Schizosaccharomyces pombe: one gene and its partner. The protein of the gene in region 2 interacts with the protein of the main gene of each other region in a biochemical or structural test. Each region holds a gene or a part of one and is shown on either strand. Other genes may lie near its edges.

The links. Proteins that work in one complex are often made in the same cells at the same time.
Region 1: the proteins of mob1 (region 2) and blt1 form a complex in vitro, tested with the Schizosaccharomyces pombe proteins (one study listed by BioGRID).

What each region holds. Positions count from the first base shown.
Region 1 is NC_003423.3:1,982,466-1,989,416, reverse strand, and holds blt1 (ubiquitin domain-like protein Blt1), read right to left. Parts: upstream 4,952-6,951; 5' UTR 4,902-4,951; coding exon 4,855-4,901; exon of another isoform or gene 4,802-4,854; coding exon 2,746-4,801; 3' UTR 2,374-2,745; coding exon of another isoform or gene 2,317-2,373; 3' UTR 2,316-2,316; coding exon of another isoform or gene 2,300-2,315; 3' UTR 2,299-2,299; coding exon of another isoform or gene 1,742-2,298; 3' UTR 1,681-1,741; coding exon of another isoform or gene 1,402-1,680; 3' UTR 1,337-1,401; coding exon of another isoform or gene 1,064-1,336; 3' UTR 865-1,063; downstream 1-864. Other genes in the region: U3 snoRNP-associated protein Sof1, read left to right, coding at 1-431; SPOM_SPBC1A4.04 (uncharacterized protein), read right to left, coding at 5,395-6,144.
Region 2 is NC_003423.3:468,488-471,997, forward strand, and holds mob1 (Sid2-Mob1 kinase complex regulatory subunit Mob1), read right to left. Parts: upstream 1,677-3,510; 5' UTR 1,639-1,676; coding exon 1,464-1,638; intron 1,407-1,463; coding exon 1,007-1,406; intron 959-1,006; coding exon 901-958; downstream 1-900. Other genes in the region: SPOM_SPBC428.12C (peptidyl-prolyl cis-trans isomerase E), read right to left, coding at 27-122, 312-342; mlg1 (1-acylglycerol-3-phosphate acyltransferase), read left to right, coding at 2,165-3,217. UniProt on the Schizosaccharomyces pombe protein: Has a role in promoting the onset of septum formation during the latter stages of mitosis.

The sequences.
Region 1 (6,951 bases), 1.5 Mb from region 2:
ACAAAACGATTCGAATTTACAATGTTCGGGAGGGTCATAGTCGTGATGTTTATCATACAAAACGTATGCAGCGAGTTACTGCAGTTAAATTTTCAATGGATGCACAATACATATTCTCTGGTTCCGATGATAGTAATGTTCGTCTTTGGAGAGCTCGTGCTTCTTCCCGTGCGTCAATTCGCTCTACTCGTGAGGAGAATCGCCTCAAATATCTTGACTCATTGCGAGAGCGCTATAAGCATATTCCTGAAATTCGCCGTATTGCCCGTCATCGTCATCTTCCAACTAATGTCAAAAAGGCTGCCGAAATAAAACGTGAAGAGATTAATTCTCTAAAGAGACGTGAAGAGAACATTCGCCGTCATAGTAAAAAAGGTGCCGTGCCCTATGAAAAAGAACGTGAAAGGCATGTTGTTGGTATTCAAAAATAATTCTAAGTTTCTATTTAATGGTGTTATAAAAGGTTTCTATGGTTTGGGTTTTCAAATTTTTTTCTCAGTTCAATTTTTTGATTATGGTGGAATTTATTCTCGTGTATAGTATACAATGCAACATAACAAGCAACCAATTTTACTAAGAAAAAGCAGAACAAGTCGGTTTCTTTGAATAAATATGCATCAGTTGATGATCTACAATTTCTTTTTTGAACATTGAAACTGGTTGCTGTAAAAATGTACGCAGATTTGGATCTTTGAATCTTCTAATATAAACTACGAAAAAAAAAAGATGGAACATTGACCTAAATTTTTATGTTTCGATTCATTCTTTTAATGTCGTTTCTTTTAGAAGTAGTAAGAACATATGTAAGTCAGTTCTAAGTTTATATACTCTGGTTTTAATTTCACATTTTGAATAATTAATTTATCATGGTATAAAAAAACAGCTAAATAAATAATTCAATTAAATATTATTGATGAAATGTGTAGAGTCCAATGAGTGAGTAGACTGGGCGTTTTCGTCTTCTGTCATATAGTACCTCATCGTGACCAAAATTCAGTATAATTAAACACTGTATAGTATCACAACTAAAAAAGCAATTGCTAACTCGTATTTTATCATATATATGATCTTTGGTAAAACCCACTTTCTTTCTTATAATATCCTTCGATATTCAACAAAACGATGGATGAACCGTCATAGTTATAGTCATCATGCGAAATGTACAGTGGCACAATTATTGAAGCAAAATTTACTTACGTTTGAAAACCAAAGAATTCAACCTGAAGAAGAATTGAAAGAAAATCTCACAAAGGTTGTTAATTACTTTCAAGCTCCCATTGATGTCGCCGTAGGTTATGGCAGCGGGGTCTTTAGGCAAGCTGGATATTCTCAAAAGGTAAATAGTAATTATTAATCGTTATACTCGTTTAATCTAAAACTTCTAACTTATGTCTCTGCTAGGAGAATCCCATGATTGATTTTATATTTCAGGTAGAAGACCCAGTCAAGTGGCACAAAATAAATTTGCAGCAAAACCCTTCTCATTATTCATTTGTTAAAAATTTTGGACCTGGTTTCGTGTCAACACTTCAAGAATCTTTTGGCACCGGTGTATACTACAATACACATGTGGAAGTAGAGGGAAATATAATCAAATATGGTGTTACTAGCAAAAAAGATGTTTATGAAGATCTTAAAAATTGGAATACTATGTATCTAGCGGGGCGCTTTCAAAAACCCGTAAGTTAAATAAACAGACTTCTGCTACAATTGTGGATATTAACCGAATTTGAACAAATAGGTTGTCATACTTAAAGGGGAAGATGAATTTTACAAAGAAAACTCTTATAATTTAAGTAGTGCCTTACACGTTGGCCTGTTAATGTTAGCAGACCGATTCACAGAGTTCGATCTTTACAAAACGATTGTAAGTTTATCCTACCTTGGCGATATTCGAATGTCCTTTTTCGCCGAAAATCCTCGAAAAGTTGAAAATATTGTTTCTAAGCAAATAGCTTTCTTTCGTAAGCTATATTTGCCACTATTGTATGCAGAACCTGGAGTTCATTTCATTGAATCATCAGAAGTTTTAAAATCTATGGATCCGAGTGATAATTCGCGATACCTCTCTTTCCATCAGAACATCACGAAGGATTCCATATCACGTCTTTTGAATGGACTCCCATTAAACTTGGTGAAAATTTTAGGCTTAAAACCTGACACTTCATCGTTTGAAAAGTGCGCTGAACTGATGTTAACGAACCAAATTTCGACAAGGAGTCTACTAATTAGCAAATCAATAAAAAAATTAACAAGCTTTAGTATTCTTACACAAAGTATAAAGGGAATTTTCACTGCCAGGTGTCATTCGTTCCGTTGGTATATGTCTATGCGAAGCTAAAGAAAGGGCTTCTGAGCAAATGGGGTCGCTAGCTTACTAATGAATGCAATATACATAGCATCTATTTGTTAACTACCGGTTAATTTTCTGAAGATATCTTAACATTAGTATTACAAGGATTGTTGAAGCTTATCTGTATAGTTAGACTTTCTCATATTTGAACGCTGATTTGTATCTCCATTGGCAAATCGGATTTTCGATCGTAAAGCTCTTAAAGGGATAAAGGGTTGTAGTAATTTTTGGACTTCATGTGATGAGCTGCTTTCAATAGTTGTTTACATTAAGTGCTTATTTCAACGTAGTATACATATGAAAGAGGTATAGTACAGAAACGAAAGTCATTGATTAAATAATAGCATTGGTATAATCTTACAAAAACGATTGACCTATAAAAGAGCGTATAATTACATTTTAGAACTGAAGCTTCTTGATTTAGATCGCTGATGTCCCGCGTCCGATGAAGTTATGACATGCTTCTTTTCTGGAGATCCTGAAGAAAACCCGATTGCAGCAGCTAGCCTTCTTGACCAAGATGGTTTCCTTTTGTCTGTTAACGCAGTTGATGGACGGACTGGTAGTTTACTGGAAGATCCAGAAAACGAAGAAAACCTCTTTTTAGAATTAGGAAGAGTGACCTCCAAATTAACAGAATTTCTTGCAGCGTTATGTGGAACACGCTTCTTTTCTATAATACTATTTTTTGGTTCTTCTATCGGTACAACAGCTGAAGATGAGGGATGGGATTCAATGGGAACAAATTCGCTGCTCGAAGAAATAGCTGGCTGCATGGACAGCTTCTGTAACATATTTAGTCTTTCTTCCAGACGAATAACTCGACTTTCAATCTCTTGGAGTGCCAATTGCTTAGTTTTGACTTGATCGGTGAGTAACGAGTAGGTTGTATTTAGCTTAACAAAGTCCTTATCCAATCGATTAATTTTGCTGGTTAAATCCGCCTTCTTTCCTTCTAACTCCTCTACGTTCATTTGTAACTGCCGATTATGATCGTCTAATGCAACTGATGACACTGAACGATCATCTACTTTGAAGGCATTGTTGTTCACTAACAGGAGGTTCTCTTTCTCTAAATTGTCAGCATTAGTAAGCACAGAAGCATTAATTCCAGAATTAGGGCTTGGACAGATTGCAGAGAGGCGTGCTACTTCGTTCTTAAGTAGATTCAGCTGTTCAGTAAACTCGTCAGCAGTATTTGAGGAGGCTCCAGGAAGGCAACTACCGGGCATATTAGAGGGATTTTCAGCTAGCGTCTCTGAGCGAAGCACAATATCGCGTAACTGGGCTACCAAATCTTGCTGCTCTGCTAGAATTCCCTGCTGTAAAGCCTGGTTCTCCATAGAGGGACCTAAAATAAATTTAAATGAGTCCATGGTTTCCTTGAACGAAAGCAGTTGATCGGTTTGTTCGGTCAAAGTTTGTAAAAGAGTCTCATTGCTTTGCTTGGCTAAATTCATCTGTTGAAACAGCTTATCAGCATCGAAATTCTCATATTTCGACAATGCAACAGCGAGTTTCTGATATTGAACATAAGAATTATGAAATTTCTGGAGAAGTACACCATCTTTCTCATGAACTGACAAAAGAGAATTCAAATAATCTTGTATTTCCTCTTGATCTTTGGAGTCCATCTGTTCTTCTCCACCATTAAAATTAGAATTAGAGCCATCACTGCCTACAGGCTTCCTATTATTAGTACGAAGAATCACATTATTTTGTAATCCACTCAAAATTTCTTGCTTTCTTTGAAAATTCTCGCTCAATTCGTCACCAACTTCTTTAAATCCAGCATTTATCTCTATCCAATGAGTGGAGGAGGGTGTATCAGTTTCCTCTAATCTTGCACTTAACAATTTTATACTTTCCTCTAAAGATAGCAACTTATCCTTTGACACATTAAAGTACTGCAATTCTTTCCAGTATTTTTGTAGAGAGGCTTGTAATGCGTTGTCTATATTTAAAGTTCCTTTCTTAAGATGGGCCAAACAATTTCCAAGTTCTCTACGAACCTCCAAACTGTTACCTTTATTGAGTTCTTTAATAACTTGAACAATTTGTTCTCTATCTTTAGAAGAAGCCTCTTGTAAAATTTTTTGGATTTGGTTTAGAGATTCGGTAACTTGGGTGGCATTTGCTTCAGCCGTGGGAGTTTGAAGTATTAAAGAGCGTAAGTCTTGTAAGTAATTAGCATTATCACAACTCCTCTGGTAAAGTTTATTTATTTGATTCACGACTGATCCTGTTGTGAGCGAAATTGAATTAAGCACCTCTAAATTACGAGAATCCGCTTCAGGAATTGGTAGGTAATTACGATGCGAATATGGAGATAATCGGTTAGACAAATTAGGCAAGGCTGTAGACCTAGGTATTGATGGAAGACCATCATCATGAGGGGGAGTAGGCAAATTCATAGACGGTTGCCGAAATGGGTCATTAAAACTTCCACTATTAATTACCGTTAGTACACTAGACAAAAGACGTAAAGTTTGTAAACATACTCTATTCCTTTAAGCTGACTTTTGCTTGTGAAAGCAGATTTGCTCATGCTCTGCCTCTTAGACACCTCAAGCGCTCGACCTTTAGGAGTTGGCAGTTATTAAGTGGTTGTTGATTACTGGAAAGAAGGGACGATTGAATTTTCCCATATGTAGCAATCCAAGTTGTACAAAACATTTTATTATTATTAAATTAAGTGTTAAAAATTCAAATTAATTTTATTCTTTACAAAAAGAGGTGTGGAAGTGCTTTTGCATCGCTAAGCTATAGTTACGGATTTTTGAAATTGCTAGGTATGAGGGTATTATGAATGTATACACTGCAATAAATAGATGATTTTGAAAGCTAAATTTGAGATTTATAGTGCGGCAAGAGAGAACTTGTATTGATAGATTCTCGAAGCAAATTTTAGCGAAAAGAATTTTAAAACAAAAAAATAAGGCATAAAAAAATCAAATATTGAAATACGACTGAAGCAATGCTACACTTCAGTTGAAGCAATCTTTAGGAGGGAAATTAGTAAGCTAGTGTGAAACTCCTAATCAACATTTTGTGGTAAAACCACTGTTGCAAGATGCTTTTCGAAACAAAGGGGGAGATGCATTTTCCTGAGGAAAAAGGGGGAGATTGCTGTAATCAGGATCAAAGCAATCATCCTGTTCAGTACCTATGGAATCCAAAGTGCCAAAGGTTTTCTCAACTTTGGAAATCTTTTGTTGTTCGTTTGCAAGTCGTTCAGCCTTTTCGAAAGCTTGTTCAAGATAAGAATCAAAGAAGGGATCAGATGAAGGACTTGAAGTGCTAACGGCTGCAGAACAAGGTAGCCATGTAGAACGTTGAGATGCCGATGGCTGAGCTAAGGGTTGGTCAGTTAGAGAGTTGGGAAGATCGTTTGCAAAATATTTTTGAGAATTAGTAAAGTTTGAAATATGTGAGGATTGAGTAGGAGCAGAAGTAACGGAGGACGAAGCAAAGTTAGAAGTTAGAATATTAAAATCGCGTGCCCAATGCGTATTAGAAATTTCGGACGAATTCATATTGAAAGACAGTTGGCTTGGCTTTAAAAAAGCATTTTTTCCTTGTCGAAGTACGGAAGGTTGAGATGTTGAAGAATGCTGGAAAGATTGGTACTCATTATTGAGAACATTTTGGGGAACAAAATTGCGATTGCTTGAAGACGCATATGATACATTATTATTCGATGATTGGGATAAATTCCGGAAACAAAAGTTAGAAGATTTTGAGTCAGCTGCGACAAGCTGCTGTAGTGAAGACCTTGTACAAGACTCCATATCGAAAACACTTTCTGATTTTTTAATAAATTATAACATAAAACAAATAGTACACACAAAAGGATTAGAAAAGGATAGAAAAACAATATCCGCCGACAACTATGAATTGAATTCTGTTATTGTTCTCCTTTCTTTTTTTTTTAATAAACAAAAAGATGGGAAGAAATAAATAGTTTTCGATGTTTGTTAAACGAAGAATTAGCCAATTTGAGTGTTCAATATAGTCACATTCAAAATTAGCTGAGCAAATTCAAATAAACTAAGATTAGGTTGGGTTTCTTTTCAACAATCCCGCTCTAGGATTGTATTTAAATGAAATTATTTTTAATGCTAGATAAAACAATAGAAGTAATATTGGTAAAGTTTTTCTTGATTTTGAGGAACCTTGATGCTTCTCACTCGGACGTATTGGTGATGCTATTTTGACGCTGATTTTAGTTACAGATCAACCGAAACTTTTTTTCTTCTTAGATATTGACTTCTTTGCCACAAAATACTTCTTTTAAAAACGTCTTTCCACTTTCGACTTTGACAAATAATTTTTTTCTCAAGCGAACTTTTTTTAATATACTATTCGATAGGCGAGCAAATATCCAACGTGGATCCGGGGATAAGCAAAGGCCAAATAGAGGTGCAAGATAGCTAGAAATATGATTTTTTTTCAATAAAATGAATTTTAAAATGAAGAGGACGTTGGTGGAGGATAAGTTCAGGAGGTCTGATGTGTTCCTTGGTAAGCGAGAAATAGCCTTATAATGTGGGACACTGAAGAATCAACCTTTTGATCTGCTCTGATCGAGCGGAATA
Region 2 (3,510 bases):
ATGACACCAATACATGACTACTTTACCTTTTTCTTTACGATGTAATGCAACTGAGATAATCTCTCCAAACGGAATGAAAGCATTGTATAAAAGAGATTCTGTTACAGATGGAGCCAAGTTACCTAAAAAGAAAGTTAGCAAACAGATCTTTGAAAACAACAATCTTTTAAAACGAAGTATCGCCGTCATATAATATTCAACAAGTTAAATCATAACCTCAAACATTTATCGTAGATAAATGGCCATATGAGGAAGCGGTATCATGAAACTCATAGATATATCATAACAACGATGAATTCATTGATCCTTACCCACATGGACGGTTGCTTTCCTTCTTTCCATCCTCAGATCATCAAAACTAAAAAAAAAAAATAAGATGAAAAGCAAAAAGACTAAAATAATAGGGAATTAAAAAGTTCAGATTATTTCGCACATTTACTATCTCACATCCACCACCATTCAGTAAGTAGTTTCTCAAATAACGATGCAGTCTTTTTCGGTATTTAACAGAAACCTGAAATAAAGATTCCAGAGACATATGATACATGAAATGTTATAAATAAAATGAATTGTATGAAGATAGACACTTTAGAGAATGCGAGAATATTTTGCACAAGTAGCCTATGCAAAGGCGATATGCCACACTTTTCAAAAGTAGTTAAAAGAATGCAGTGTCATAAGAAAAAAGTGGAGGAGTAGAAAGAGTAATTTTAGCAACTATTCTTTATGGTAATCACTCAAGTGAATGATTGAAATGAAAAGAAGAAATTTTCCATAAAAAATTGTGCTAAGGTCTGGATAAAATGGTAATGGTAGGGATAAAATAAAACATTAAATTGGTAAGTTTGGGAACCGAGTTTACCTCCCATTTCCTGTTCCTGAATAACTACAAAACTGTTCTTAAACCATGCTATCTACCAAGTCTTGCATTGGTGCATATTCCTTGTTATCCATAAGGCTGAAATTTGTTGTTAACATCTTTAAGTAAGTAAATTGAAACACATACCCAAATTCCCTACAGAAAAATACAAAGTGTTTAAATGATGTATTCAGATAGCTTTCAAGCTCCATTGCTACCATTACGTGAAAGTGGGAACAGTAAATATGAGCATAAATGCGAAACAACCTTCGAAATATTTGCTGAATCACTTTGCGAAAATTCTTTGGGAATTCAACACCAATCTCAGTGGGGAAGAGCTTCTTGTCATCCAACTTTTCTTGAGTCCAATCCAACAGATTGTTAATATAGTCGGGAGCACTCATGCGAGTGGGTTTGGTGTATATTTTATCATCCTGCCAGTAATATTCATAACTTGGTCCAGCATTCATTTGAGGACAGGAAGCCGCCGTACAAAATTCAGTGATTGTACCATACAACATATTAATTTGTGTATAAAAATCCATTGCTAGAAGTATTCAATTAATAAAAGTTCTTGAAGTGTCAATTTTATATCTTAGCTTACTGTTCATAGCAATCCATTCATTCAAATCTTCTCCCTTGGGCAGTTTTACTGCTTCCATCAAAGAGCCAGATCCCAGCGTTGCTTCAGCATATTGCCGTAGTTGATAATGCTTCGTTCCCGCTTCAGTCTTCCTTACACGGAATGTCTTCGCTGTCTTATTACTAAATCCAAACATGAAAGAAAATGCAAAAAAGTTGGTATGAGTTGGGTTCTGGTAGGCTTGGTTTGTGCCAACCTTCCACTCATCGTCCCTTCCTCGTAAACAAACGTGGTCATTCTACCGTTCAACTTTCAAGACCATCCAGCCAACCAATATTAAGCGCAAATTAATTACTGGAATACCTATCATATTCATACGACCGTATGTTTAGGTCCGAGCACTTTTACAAATTGACAACGTACGATCGCTACTTCTTTACCCACTGCCTATAACCACTGACATTCCCTGAATTACACTTTGGTGCTAAACGTGCGGCTAAGAAATTAAAAAGAAAGCAGAGAGCTTTTAATTTTCTTTTTGGGATTTTTTTTGCTCAAATTGGTGTCTATTTAGTGTTCGTGTACGACTTTTACTGTGCGGTGAGAAACGCGAAAGGGCATCACTAAAACCGACTTTGCTAACTTTCTCTGGATTCTATTTAACAGTCTTTTATTTCTTGAGATTTGATTTAGGTTCCTTTAATTCATTTAGGTTTGACAACATGACATGCAGAATTGCGATTCGCAAGTATTCATTCATATTATGTTTGGCTGTTGGTTCAGTTACCATTTATACCTCGGAAGTTATTGGAACTCCTCTGTATTTTGTCAACAAGGAGCTTTATAACAAATATATTGCTTTTACAAAATCATTCGCCGGTATTCTGTTTACCGCTTTGGTCCAGCTTTTTAGTCCGACTCCTGTAACTCTCACCTATGATCCCGAGCTTCGAAATTTGTTTTATTTGGATAGAAATGGTTGCTTGGAAACAATTGCTGCTGAACGCAACATAGTTATCGCAAACCATCAACTTTACTCGGACTGGATGTACGTTTGGTGGTTATCGTACACTGCTAAACAGCATGGTCATGTTTATATTATGTTAAAAAACTCTCTCAAATGGTTGCCAGTTATAGGTTGGGGTATGCAATTGTTTAGATTCATTTTCCTTTCTCGCAAATGGGACAAAGACTACGAGACTATGTCTCGTCATTTCAAGTTCATTCGCAATGTACGTGATTCCGTCAGTCTCATTCTCTTCCCAGAAGGAACCAACTTGGTTGAAAGCACATATCAAAGGAGCAGGGTGTATGCCGATAAAATTGGAGTCAAAATGCCAAAGCATTTAATGCTCCCACGTGTGCGAGGGCTCTTTTATAGTATCAGTCAGCTTCGTGATTCGATGACTTATTTGTACGATTACACATTTTATTTTTCTGATCCCTCTCCTAAGAAATATGCCGCCGATGCTTTCTCTTTACCTAAGCTCTTTTTTGAAGGAGTCCCCATCAAAAGGCTTCATATTCACGTTCGTCGCTTCCCAATTTCGGAAATTCCCACTGAAGAAGATCAGTTTACGGATTGGCTTTATCAAAGATGGTATGAGAAAGATAAACTTATCGATACGCTTCTTGAAACAGGGAATTTTCCGGGCCCTAAGAAATTGCATACGACTGTTCGATTGAAGCACAGACTTGAAATTCTTTCTTTGTTTTCCGTACTTTTCACGTGCATTGTTGCTGGGTTGTTCCTCAAACTATTCATTTCTCACTAGAAAAAACTGTTATTTATACCCATTTCTTTCCATTTCCCTAAACCATATGGTTGAAAAGTTACCCATTTACACTACATAGATTAACTGATTTTCATGAACATTTTTTAACAGATTGCAAACTGGATTTTCAGTGTTAAGGAATTACCGCATACATTGCGGACGATAGTTTTATAGTCATTAGCTTTCTCTTGAGCTTTGAGATTTCGAGATAAATTATTCTGTACACTTTTTCTCCTTACAACCATCCTCTTTGCCTGTAGACGGCCTACAATCTACTGTTTCAAACTATGTCG